Linked DNA regions of Arabidopsis thaliana. The protein of the gene in region 2 interacts with the protein of the main gene of each other region in a pairwise test. Each region holds a gene or a part of one and is shown on either strand. Other genes may lie near its edges. The genes, in order: nPAP and AT5G65260.

Region 1 (7,408 bases), on a different chromosome or scaffold from region 2:
GGTTCAACCACCAATTATTCCAATTCCTCTATAGATTTTCCATCATATTACATCATAAGAAAAAAAGAAACAGTGTTTTGACTTTGATATAGATCAGAAACCTTTATTTTAAAGCCTTTCATTGCAACTACTCTCACTTAGTTTTGACAGCATAACTCCAAAAACGAGAGACAAGGAGGCATAGATCTTATATACATAAACCGCAAAATAAAATTAAAAAAACACAAACGATTCAAGTCAAAGCCCTAAGAGGACCAGAGTCTGAAACAGCCGAATAATAAAAAAAAAAAAGCATTCATCATCCAGACATTATATAAATCATTTCAATCTTCAAGTTATGATCCTGATGACGCATATTGAGCTTTGGTCATCATCCAAGCTCACTCAAAATACCACCACCAATGCTTTCTCTGCCTATACCTTCTTTTCTCTTTTGGTTACCTTTTTTTTTTTAACTTAATTCTTTTTTTTTTTTTTGAATTTTTCAAATGTCATTTTTTAACTTTTTTTTTTCTTTTTTCTTTTTTCCATATTAAAAATTCACTTACCAAAAGCTTCTGGACTCTGTCGTCTGTCCAACGCAACAATTTGAGTTGAAATCCCCCGTTTTCTTCACGTCAATAGCCTAGAGGACGTTCACACAGTGGACTTTAAGCTTAACCTGCTTGTGCTATAAAAGCACCAATGAAACCAAATACACAACAAGAATAACATAAAGAAATCATGACTTTGCATAACACACATGCCTTATCTGTGACTTCTGGAAAGATTCTGACCTAGCTCTGTCTTCCGACTTCTCCATCCCGCTCACCAAAGAGTTTGACTAAGACAAGACAAGATTACGAGCAACAACATAAGTTAGTTTTATTCCTTACAAAACTTAATCAAAGAGAGAAAAGTCTAATTCAATAAGTTTCAAGCGGAGTTGCTTTGCAGTGCAGGACCTGCCAATCATATATATGCACTAGTTAGGCGGTATGCAGCAGAAATCACACAAGGCAAGTTATAACACAGCAGAAACATTGACCTCTTAAGTAGTACTGTTTATGGACAACCATCAAATTTCAAACTTAGCTCCATCCTATGTTTCTTGACACTATGAAACCAGTATGAGATTCCATGTAGTGTGGAGAATTGATGCTCGCATATCATTGGACATTCATTTTTAAACCAGCTATTAAATATTTTCAACAGAACTAATCTTATGATAACTACTGTGAGGTAGCTTAATAACCTGAAGGTCTTCCGACATGCCGCTTTGAGAGTACAAGTTTTTCTTTCCCATAGGATCTGAATTTGCAGCAGGAAACCCGAAACCCTGTAAAAACTCATCATTACTATGCCCGGTATGTTCAAACAATTATTGCCAATTTCTGATAACACACCAGAACCCCCAAACATATACAAAAAGAAAAAAAAAACTAACCTCATAATCACGGTTCTGCCCACAGGATCTGCTCGGAAGAAGTGGGGAGTCAGTACCACTGATGGATACAGACCTCAAATTACGATCTAAGTTTTCTTCCTGCCCACTTACACATGCTACCACATCAACAGAGTCAGGTGTTACACACTTTCCCAAAGGCTCAGCAGGATCAGAGCATTCTTGAACTACAGCCATACTATCTACTTCAAGAACTTGCTCGCTGCCAGAGTTACACTCATTTCGAGCTAAGTCTGTGAGTTCAGTACACTCAGTGTTCAAATTATCAGCTTCTATTTCCTCGCTTGGTGGCCTTCTAAGGTTGCAAACAGGAGGAGTCCAACCAGTTGTGATAGCACTATTTTCAGGAGAAACTATATCTAGACTCTGTGGACTAAGAGATGCACGCTTCTCAGGTTTCTCTGGCCTCACATCCATCATTTCACTATCGTTCTTTCGCTTGGCATGCCTCTCCACCACAGAGCCGGAATGAGAAACACTGCCATCTTCACCAGATTTTCCACCCGGTAGATTTTGGTGCCTGGACTGCCGAGGCCTTCGATATCCATTAGGGAAAACAAAAGGTGGAAGCTGTCGTCTACGAACATGAGAAACGAAAACATCCATCCCAGGTTTCCAAAACATATACATGTTTACTTCTTGTCTGAACTCATCGACAGTACCACGTATATCAAACTGTTGACATTCTTGACCCCCAACTCCCTCTGCCCTCTGCAAGCCCATGAAAAAGGCACAATGCAGAAACTGCCTAGCCGTGTCTACATACTCATTTGGTTGGGGATGGCACATTAACATCCCATTAGTGTCTCTTTCTATCTGCATTATTGAATGAAAAGAAACAAAATCGAGAAACATTTAATAATTTTATATTTTCTACCACAACAAATATGATTAAACACTGATATACAGCAGGTTTATTACTGTAAATCAAATGAAAAGAGGAGGCTATCAACCTTTAAGGTCAGCTGTCTGAACCGCGACTCCACCCAACCCTTCCAAGCCAATAAATCTTCTGCATCTGCTGCCACTATATCAACCTGAAGGTAGTTTTTGTATGCCTCGAAAAACATATATTGTTCAAATAAAGAGCTCCAGTGCTGTTTATTTAATTCAATCTCCTGCATTAAAAATCATGCATAAGTATAGGATCCTGAATAAATAGTTGAGATAACAAGTCAAAAGTTTTGCTCACTTACCTGCAAGATATTGTTACCAAACTGGAACTGCTCTGTCATAACGCGAAGAGTGCTTTGAGAGACATTGTAACTAGAATTCATGCATGGGTAAGCTGGAGTTATTATTGGCATAAGGTGATAGCGGTCGCGATGATTCTTACGACGGTCCCAGACAGGAAATCCAAGCTCATCCTCTTCTATTGCACAAAGCATGACTGGGTTCGGCCACCGCCATTGAGTATATACTCTAAAAAAACGAGAAACCAGCATACTAGGAATTGCATTTGGATAAAGCTGGCAGACACGAGCAACCAAAAGTGCCCAGTTTACACCGCCAAGAAATCCAGTCACCTGCCCAATATGAGAAATATGACAAGAGCTTAGACATGAAAGTTTTCAATAAATACGAATTTCAGAAAGCTATGATCTTACATTTGAATACACCCCACGCTTCTTAGCCCAGTACTTCAGGCATCTTAAGGTTGTCCGGAAGTGCTACAATTGCACATAAGATAAGAGAAGGTAACCATAGTTCATTCATATGTTAACATAATGACTGGCATTCTGTGAGTTTACCTCAAAATTTGGAACGAGTTTAAGAATCTGATCAGCAACTCTACAACCATTAAGACTTCGAACGGTTGGCTCATCAACTTCACACAGCACAGAAGAGCTGGAGATATCCAGATCCTGTCGATAAACCAAATCCATGAAAACAAGAAATTTGATTCAGCAAGAGATTGTAATCTACCATGACAGCTCACGGGCTCAGTTTTCATATAAAAATCAAAACCGATGCACCAAAATAGCCAGCAAACTTTTCAGATCTCTCTCTCAAGCCAGAAACTACTAAAATAAATTTGTTTACTATATAAGCCATTGAGGATGAGTAATACACTATCTGTCTCCATCAACATGCAAACAAGCACAACATATAGCATAATATATACAAGCTAATATAAATTTATCAGACCCTACAGCTTCAGCAAAAACAAAGAAAGATACAATAAATTCACAGAAAATTACCTGTGGCACAACTAAAAGTGATATGCTAGCATAGAGCAGATCAATCGGTATTCCTTGAAACTTAAATTTCATGACCGGAACATGGGCATCGGGAACAGGATGGAGCTCAGTCACTTCTTCCATCTCAGCCAATATATCATGCAAGATGATGAAGAAATCCTCCTGTAAAGAGTAAGTGTTAAGAACTAAAGAATCAAACTTCTGCATCAATAAGTGGTAGCAAGAGTCACCTCCCGGTTAACATAAGATGGCCCAACACACAAAGTATCAATGTCAGCCCCAGGACCATGCACCTGCAAAGTGAACAAAATTGAAGTCGGTTCAGCCTCAGAGACTAAGATTGCATTTGCATAGACAAAAACAGAGCGATCTCTCGAGTAATCCACAAACATATAGCAAAAAACATATTATACGCATTTTAGCTTCAAGATAAAAGCAAGGAAGCGGTAAACAAGTAGCACTTACGCCAAGTCGGTAGGATCCAAAGGTGAAAATGACAGCATTTGCATCTTCCACCATCTGATCAGTATATCCTCTTTGCTGCGTTAACTGTTTCACCCAGTGCTTTACAATCTAAAAAAAAAAGGTGGGAGATAAGATTGATAGTTTCAGACAAATAGCACAATGAACAGCATGTGAAGAAACTTAAAAACAGCAAAGTAAATCAATGGACATAAGAACATATGCCTGACCAGTCTATTTCATATTGAACTATGATCTATGCTTAGCCCAAAATCAACAACCATACACGAGTAAGAACCAATACAATGAAACCTAAAAGACCATTATAAACACAATAATTTTATTCTTGTCGATTCAGACACCCAATTAGCACAACCATCAAAAGATAACACTTGTAAATATACAGAACAAACAATCAACGAGACACGCTGAGTCACCTGATCGATGCGTCCTAGAACTTCCTCTCGCCGCATGGTATCATCCTTGCTCTCGTAGAGTCCCTCATCAACCAAGTACTTGAGCATATAAGAAAATACACATCAGATAAGCCAAATCAACGAATCCTTTAAACAGTGGAACAATTTTTGTATAAACAAAAAAACAAAGCTTTACCTTCTCCAGCTCCACATTACGCTTAATATCCGCCGAAGAAGGCCCAGCAAGAGAGAGCGGCTTCGTAATTCCATAGCTTTTAGGAGAATTCAGCGGCGGCAACGAACCACCTAAATTTTGAGTACCCACCATCATAACACGATTGATAATCCTAAGCGATCAAAGCAGAAGCGCAGCACAAAAACATAATCTCGCTTCACGATATGATTAGAGGGAGATCGGATCAGACCCCCAGGTCAAGATGGATTCGAGACGGGAATTGCACAAGGAGAGGAAACAAATAAAAAGGAGATTTTGAAAATCGGAAACCCTAAATCGATGGAAGGGGAAAGAGACTACGGTGTCAAAAAAAGTCAAAGAAGAAGGAGAATCTGAAAGAGGTTAAATCGATGGACTAGGAACAGAGAGAAGAGAGAAAGAGAGAGAGATGATGGATCAAGAAGAAGAAGGAGGTATGAGGGAGATGGAGAGAGAGAGAGAGCAAAGGTTGGGGAAGATATTAGGTACACGGCGATTCGATTTTATAATTAAATTTTGATTAGTGGATTAATGTGTATGATTATTTTACGGAGGGAGCCGATAAGTCTCCGTTCAAAACAAGAAAACATTGTAATCATTTTGAAAACAAATCTAAATTAGATAATTTTGTTCAGATTTTTAATTTAAAGATTTTAATGGGGTTAGTGGGATTATTGGTAACTAGAAATCATGTGTCGATGGAAACCAACTGATTTAAAATCACCATCTGTTAATTTTAATTGATAAAGTTGAAAACTGGTGTGTTGTTTATTAGATTTTGATATAATTTTGATACTATATTGGATTTTAACATATTAAAGTGTTTTTAAATAAAAGATACAAAAGTTTAGGCTGTATATACAAAAGTTTAGGCTGTATATACAAACATGAATTTCAATTAGTGATGTAATAATGGATTTCCTTGATTAAAAATTACAAAGACCCAATTCTCATGGTTTTGTGAGATTGCAAATATTATTTTTTTTTAGTGAGGGAGATTGCAAATATTTTTAATAACAAATAGTAACAACTTTCCTAACTGTCTAAAACTTATCAAATTCATCTAAAATTTATTAATACTCGAATCTTTTCTTTCCAAATATGTAATTCATTATACTCCTAATTGGAGAGGAAACTTTATTATTTTAGAATCCACTTGTTTGATATTTAAATCCTAAATTGATTCATGAAGATTTGTAAAGTTTAGATTGATTTGTTAATCAAATAAAAAGTTTAAACCGATAATTTGATAGTTTAAAAATGATTTTTTCGGACAATTGTGTATTAAGATCTTTTTTTTATACTTAAGCGTTATAAAGATTTGTAAGATAAATTTTCTCCTCTCAGAAATTTGATTTTTAAGCTAAAATAACTATTCGATCTATACATTAGCTTGACATTATTATTTTTACAAAACAAATCAGTTTTTATAAATGCTATTTCTCAACAGGATATGATATTTCTCTCTTTGTCATGAACAATACCATATACTAAGAAAAAATGATTTTAAAAAAAAAAAATCTTAAGAAATTAAAGAATAGAAAAATTGCCTATATATTTTTGACACCAAATAGAGAAATTACTAAGAATATATTTCGTAAATATTAAGATATTCTTATCGTTTAATTTTTGTCATTTTCTTTAAAGGTATAATAAAGATAATTAATGAGATTTTATCCATACTTCTGCATTTATCCACGAATCAATTATCTGAAAACCGGAAATTGACAAAAGGAAAAACCAGCCGCCGTTTACGCTGGTATTTCGGTAATGTCCGTATATCATAAAGTAACGGTGAGCCAAAACGACGTCGCTTTCTCGTTCCTTACTTCTATACCACTCTGAGCTCTGAGAATTAAAACTCACATACATACATACGCTTCAAATTCACAGTCGCTTTACGTCACCGGAGAGAAAAACACTCAGAAGAATAAGGTTTTCTTCGATGGCTTCTAATGGCGTGGACGAGCAGATTAAGTTGGTGGAAGGACCTGCTGGTTATGTACTCGAAGATGTTCCTCATTTGAGCGATTACATTCTCGATCTCCCCGTACTACTTCCTCTCTCTATCTCTATACGATTCCATCGATTATTCTTTGAAATCGACATTTTCATGGATCGGTGGTTATACGATTTACGAATTTGATATTGTTGCCGATTTGGTGGTTCGTGTATAGCAAATGCAAAAGTTGTGTTTGTATAATTGGTTTCGCCTATTTTTAGCCTATATGTTGATTCGGACTGTTGATGAGATCCTGGTCTCTATCAGGGAGAGAATTACATAAATATTTATATTCGTATTAGTGCATACAAATGTGAAATGTTAAATCAATGTCAACGTGGAAATTGATTGGTGCACATATGCTTACTCGTCACCGAATGTTTGATTAGATCTATTAATCACTTACTATTTTCTAAATTTGATGCTAATGTAATGAGGTTCTTATACATGTAGAGTAATGGAAGAATTGGATTGTAAATTAGTCTTGCCATGGAGAAAAAAAAAAGCTTTTTGGTTCATATTTCAAATCATGCTATAGCTTCGTTTCATTTTATACTTTATTCACTTTTGCTGATACCTTCTCTAACAGACTTATCCAAACCCGTTGCAATCAAATGCTGCTTATTCAGTAGTAAGGTAAGTTGATGTTGTACTTATGAACTTGATTGA
Region 2 (5,271 bases):
CAATAATCTTACAAATGTAGAGAGAATAAAAACATGTTGATCAAATTAATATCCAATTTTTAAGATCAAATTAAGATCGGTTTGTTATACTTGGATTCAACACCCCAAAACCCCACAAAAACTGCTCATTAAGCAACAAATGAATCACACAGCTCTAGATAGGAGAAATATCCCAATCAGAGTCTTTAAAACATCTATATATTGTTGTTATCAAGTAACATTCAAGAATTGAATTGGTTTATCTAAGAGTTACAACACATGTTACTCTTGTTTGGTATCACTTGACCAGGACCTGGAACAATATCAATCTTCTTACCAGCAAGCGACCCGGGATTACCATTCTCTTGATCTTCACTCGCAGCCAGACTTTTCTTGTTCACAATGTTGAAGATCTCAGTCAAAACCGTGGAGAAAGCGCTCTCAACATTGGTTGCGTTAAATGCAGATGTCTCCAAGAAGAACAAACCTTCTTTCTCCGCAAATTCTTTCGCATCTTCTGTCGGTATAGCTCGTTGATCCACAAGATCTGACTTGTTCCCAATAAGGATTATCACAATGTTCTTATCTGCATGAGCACGTAGTTCTTCTAACCATCTTGGGATATGGTCAAAGGTTTGGCGTCTGGTTATGTCATACACCAACATCGCCCCAACCGCTCCTCGGTAATATGCACTTGTTACTGCTCTGTATCTGTTTCAACCAATACCACACATATAGAAAGATATACAATGTAAGCATATGATAAGCATGAAATGTGGTGGTTAGCTTACTCATTAAAGATCAGTGAATGTATAAAGTTGATGAAGCATCACTGGGAAATGTATAACAAAAGTGTCCAAATTTGTACCAATCATAAAATTATAGAAGCTTAATAACATTGGAATAGTAATATACATAATTCTAGTCTATACATAATTTTGAAATCCCAATCCCAAATTCTCAATGATTCTACCATTTTACTTCAGATCCTCCCAATTTCGTATACAGATCAGTAAGCTTTACTAGAATTCGAAATCCTAAGCAGACCTATCATCTTCCAGATCTAGAGAAACAGTAAAATCTTACGAGATCTAAGTTCAAGCAATTGAAGTAGCTAAAAGTTCCGGGAGAGGTCGGAGATTACCGTTCTTGGCCGGCGGTATCCCAGATCTGAGCCTTAACACTCTTGTGATCGATAACAAGCGTCCGAGTCTGAAACTCAACGCCGATGGTGGCCTTAGAATCCAAACTGAATTCGTCTCTAGCATAACGAGCCAGTATCTGTGATTTCCCAACCGCGGAATCGCCGATCAACACCACTTTGAACACATAATCAATCTTCTGCGACGGATCTCCGTATCCTCCTCCACTAGTCATCTTCTTCAACGTCTCTCTCTCGCTAAATCCTCTCTTGCTAAATCCTCTGTTTTAAGCTTTTACCGAAAAGTGAGCTTTTTTGAAGTTTTAAACGCAGAGAGAGATCTGATACGGTCGTATTGTCGTCGTTGTCAACTATTAGTCAATATTTTTAATTAATGATGACGTGTCTAAATATTAACCGTTGGATTCTGCCGGCTCGGTGAGATTTGACGGATTCGACAATTATCTTTCTGTCAGGCGCATGTTTTTGGGTGATGATGTCATCAAATAGGGTAATTTCGAATGTTAAAAAGTCTTTTAAAATTGGGCCTTATTAGGCCCATTAAGTTATAATAAAGGGCCGTTATTTGGTTGATTACGTGTCGCTATCCGAATTGACAAAAAGTGACCTAAGCGTTTTCAGAAGAAAACAAAGCAAACGTCGCGACGGAGAGAGAGCGAGAGAGACGATGGAGGAAGAGGAGCACGAGGTTTACGGTGGTGAAATTCCAGACGTCGGAGAGATGGATGGAGATATGGAGGCTCTCAACCCCGATTTGGATATGGCTGCTGCTGATGATGATGCGGTTAAGGTCTACTATTATCTCTTTCTCTCTTACTGTTTTGCTCATCTTTATGTGACTGAGCTCGATTGATTTGTTATCGCGTGTATATGTGTTTGATTGTTGTGTTATTGCTGTTGTAATTCTAGGAGTTGGATGAAATGAAGAAACGATTGAAAGAGATGGAGGACGAAGCTGCTGCTCTGCGTGAGATGCAGGCTAAGGTCGAGAAGGAAATGGGAGCTCAAGGTTTTCGTCTCTTTGATTTGGTTTTGCTATAACTCGCTTCTTTGATATGATTATCATCGTGCTTCCCGCAATTCGCTAGGTTTTTGATAATTGGTAGCTACTTGGTGGTGTTTGAATCCATCTTAGAATTCCACTGTGAATTATGTTATGTATATGGAGTTTTTTTTTGCTTCTTGACTAAAGTTTTTGGTTCAATTTTGTTATTCCAGATCCTGCTAGTATTGCAGCGAATCAAGCAGGCAAGGAGGAGGTTGATGCTCGATCAGTTTTTGTTGGCAATGTAAGAATATTTATGTTTCTGCGTCGTTTTCTTTCTTTAAGCCATCTTAGCTAGCTTCTGCTTTATTTTCATAGTTTTTAACTCGTATTGATCTTAATGTTCATTGGATTAGACTATGAATTGTGCCTTTTTTAGCTCTCTTGATACAAAACCTTTTATCTAGGGTGTTAGAATTATTATCGTAGAAATCTATTATCTGATTATGTTCTCTTCCTGATCCATGATTGCATTCTCTACATTTAGTGCTTGAATATATCACTAGTTTACTCTGACTTTTGGTGTAATGTCACATCTTTGTTGCTATGGATTCTTGTCTATTCAGTGAGAACTCTTATTAGATGAAATTGTTGAATGGTAAAAAGTTGGTGCTTAGCGTGAAGACTTTATCTTCAAATGAAAACTAGTGAGGGGTTTCTGTTGTTAGTGATATTGAGGGTTTTGGAAAGTAGATTGAGTCTTCATATTACTGGTGGAACCTTAGCCTTCAGATATAATTGAAAATTTCATATGTTTAGTAACTTTTCTGTGCAAATTTGAGGATGCTATAGTTTTTGTTTTCTGGCGTTGAGTTTTACTTTTCTTATGATTTTTCTCACTACAATCGCAGGATTTTGTTCCTGAAGTTCTTAATTGCTCTGGGTTATATCAATTAGGTTTTGTGGGGTCTTTACATTTTCCTTTTATGGAGTTGAAAAAGATCTGTTCTGTTTTGTTGTGGAACATGATGAAAAAAGCTAAAAAAAAGAGGCAAAAAAGCATTGAATAAAGCTATGAAAAAAGAATAAAGAAAAGGAAATGAATACGCTTTAGAGCAATATAGAGAAGGAAAAATGTTATGATTATGAGGGAAAAAGAGATATCTGGAGAGGGGACAATGTTTGAGTGGAGTATTTCTCAATCCATCCTCGAGGAGATAGCGTTTGAAGTGCTGCATCAAGATGCTGGATGCTTTGTAGTCAAGGCTCATTAGCTGCGTTGGTGAGAAGCAGCTGTTTGATGGTAACATAAAATTAAGCTTGGCATAAAGTTTATGCTCGGTACACAGCGTAAGGGATCTTTTCAACTCAAAGGCTGCTCAAGTATACTAAATTCCACTTTGCTTTCCTATTGTTCTGCTTTACCTTGCACATATATTTATGTTGGTGTGTGTGTAATGAAGGATAGTAAAAGAGGAATGTCTTTGCTACGTTTTCTTGTTTAGCTGAACTAATTAATTTGATGGATTACTCTTTGTGTGCTCGGTGAAGGACTCCATGGGTTTATGCTAGTTTGTTATATACTATAACTGCATATTTGACTGTGCAGGTTGATTACGCTTGCACACCTGAAGAAGTTCAGCAGCATTTCCAAACATGCGGCACTGTCCATCGGGTGACCATTCTGACAGACAAATTCGGGCAGCCAAAGGGATTTGCATATGTAGAATTCGTCGAAGTGGAAGCTGTTCAAGAGGCTCTACAACTGAATGAATCAGAGCTACATGGTCGTCAATTAAAGGTACACATCTTACTATACCATCAAACAAAACACTTTTTACCATGAAAAAACCCCTTATGATTCCATCGTTTTCTCATCTGGCTTAAAATAATTTCAGGTCTTGCAGAAGAGAACAAACGTTCCTGGATTGAAACAGTTCCGTGGTAGACGATTCAATCCATACATGGGTTACCGGTTCCGCAGACCTTTCATGTCTCCTTATATGTATTCCCCATATGGATACGGGTAAGTTGGTTTTAACATCAAGACATATATGTTGATTGTGGTCACACAGCTTTATCCACTTCTCACACTTTTTGGTGTTTTTTTTTTGCAGAAAAGCTCCTAGGTTTAGAAGGCCTATGCGTTACATGCCGTACCAATAAAACCGTCATCATGGTTAAGCATAGAAGGGATTCGCTACCAGTGTGGATGCGTGTATTGGCTATACCCATCCTTCATTGAGCTTTCTTTATGACTTTGGCTCTTTCGCCTTTTAGAACTTTGCGCGTAAACATTTTCGAACCTAGACTGGTATTATAAGTTTCATATCGTTTTGATATGATGCATATAATGATTGGATCAAGTGTTGCTTATATAATTGGGACTATTGGGTTATAGCTGAAATCTGTTAAATGAAAGTGTTGACTCTTTTTATTCGCTTAGCAAATCAACTCCAAAGATGTTCCGCGCATTTTAAACTTTTATTGTCGAGGCTTTGCTACCATGCGCCTGTAAGAGGTTCTCTTCTGATGATGGACGTCAAGGTCGTAGCCATTTCTTGCAATGACCTGAGATTTAACCAGTCACTTGTCACAGACCCGAAAAGACGATAATGTCCTTATCGCTTCCTTCTCGATACGCTCTCTTCTCCGGCTCGACTCCTGTTCGCATCAGCAGGAGGAGCAACCTCTGCTTCGCCGTCTCCGCCGCACGAGCTTCTCGCCGGGATTCTATATCATTCCCCCAGCCTATCTTCCTCCGCCACGTCATCTCTACCCAGTCGAATTTCGAGATCGATCGAAATTATAGAGCTCATGCGTCTTCTATCGGATCATTCGAGGATAGCTCTTCTTCTAACTTACTAGAAGACGCCAGTTCCGATGGTTTCGATTTGGGCAGCTTTGTTTCTTTCGCGGAAGCGCTTTGTATTTTATCATCCGCCGTGATTTCAGTGGTTCTCGCGGTGAATTACGTGGTGGTTGGTGAAATTGGGAAAAAGGTTTTGTCTTTAGGTTTCGTTGGATTGGTTGGCTCAGTCGCCACTGGTTCTTGGCTTAGACGACGACAATGGATGAGGATTTGCAAAGGCGCGAGAGAAAGTGAGGGGACTAATCTAATTCGAAGGTTGGAGAAACTTGAAAA

What was found.
Region 1: the proteins of AT5G65260 (region 2) and nPAP interact in a two-hybrid assay, tested with the Arabidopsis thaliana proteins (one study listed by BioGRID).

Annotation. Positions count from the first base shown.
Region 1 is NC_003075.7:15,847,580-15,854,987, reverse strand, and holds nPAP (nuclear poly(a) polymerase), read right to left. Parts: upstream 5,217-7,408; 5' UTR 4,855-5,216; coding exon 4,720-4,854; intron 4,623-4,719; coding exon 4,545-4,622; intron 4,219-4,544; coding exon 4,111-4,218; intron 3,939-4,110; coding exon 3,876-3,938; intron 3,808-3,875; coding exon 3,646-3,807; intron 3,310-3,645; coding exon 3,196-3,309; intron 3,115-3,195; coding exon 3,052-3,114; intron 2,971-3,051; coding exon 2,641-2,970; intron 2,563-2,640; coding exon 2,398-2,562; intron 2,261-2,397; coding exon 1,427-2,260; intron 1,319-1,426; coding exon 1,235-1,318; coding exon of another isoform or gene 1,178-1,234; exon of another isoform or gene 1,097-1,177; coding exon of another isoform or gene 1,082-1,096; exon of another isoform or gene 824-1,081; coding exon 743-823; coding exon of another isoform or gene 722-742; exon of another isoform or gene 671-721; coding exon of another isoform or gene 637-670; exon of another isoform or gene 626-636; coding exon 545-625; 3' UTR 528-544; downstream 1-527. Other genes in the region: PFK6 (phosphofructokinase 6), read left to right, coding at 6,683-6,787, 7,329-7,375. UniProt on the Arabidopsis thaliana protein: Essential protein. Polymerase that creates the 3'-poly(A) tail of mRNA's. Also required for the endoribonucleolytic cleavage reaction at some polyadenylation sites.
Region 2 is NC_003076.8:26,079,522-26,084,792, reverse strand, and holds AT5G65260 (RNA-binding (RRM/RBD/RNP motifs) family protein), read left to right. Parts: upstream 1-1,726; 5' UTR 1,727-1,808; coding exon 1,809-1,931; intron 1,932-2,050; coding exon 2,051-2,150; intron 2,151-2,359; coding exon 2,360-2,430; intron 2,431-3,735; coding exon 3,736-3,927; intron 3,928-4,024; coding exon 4,025-4,152; intron 4,153-4,243; coding exon 4,244-4,292; 3' UTR 4,293-4,571; downstream 4,572-5,271. Other genes in the region: RABA4a (RAB GTPase homolog A4A), read right to left, coding at 243-690, 1,124-1,356; AT5G65250 (uncharacterized protein), read left to right, coding at 4,742-5,271. UniProt on the Arabidopsis thaliana protein: Involved in the 3'-end formation of mRNA precursors (pre-mRNA) by the addition of a poly(A) tail of 200-250 nt to the upstream cleavage product.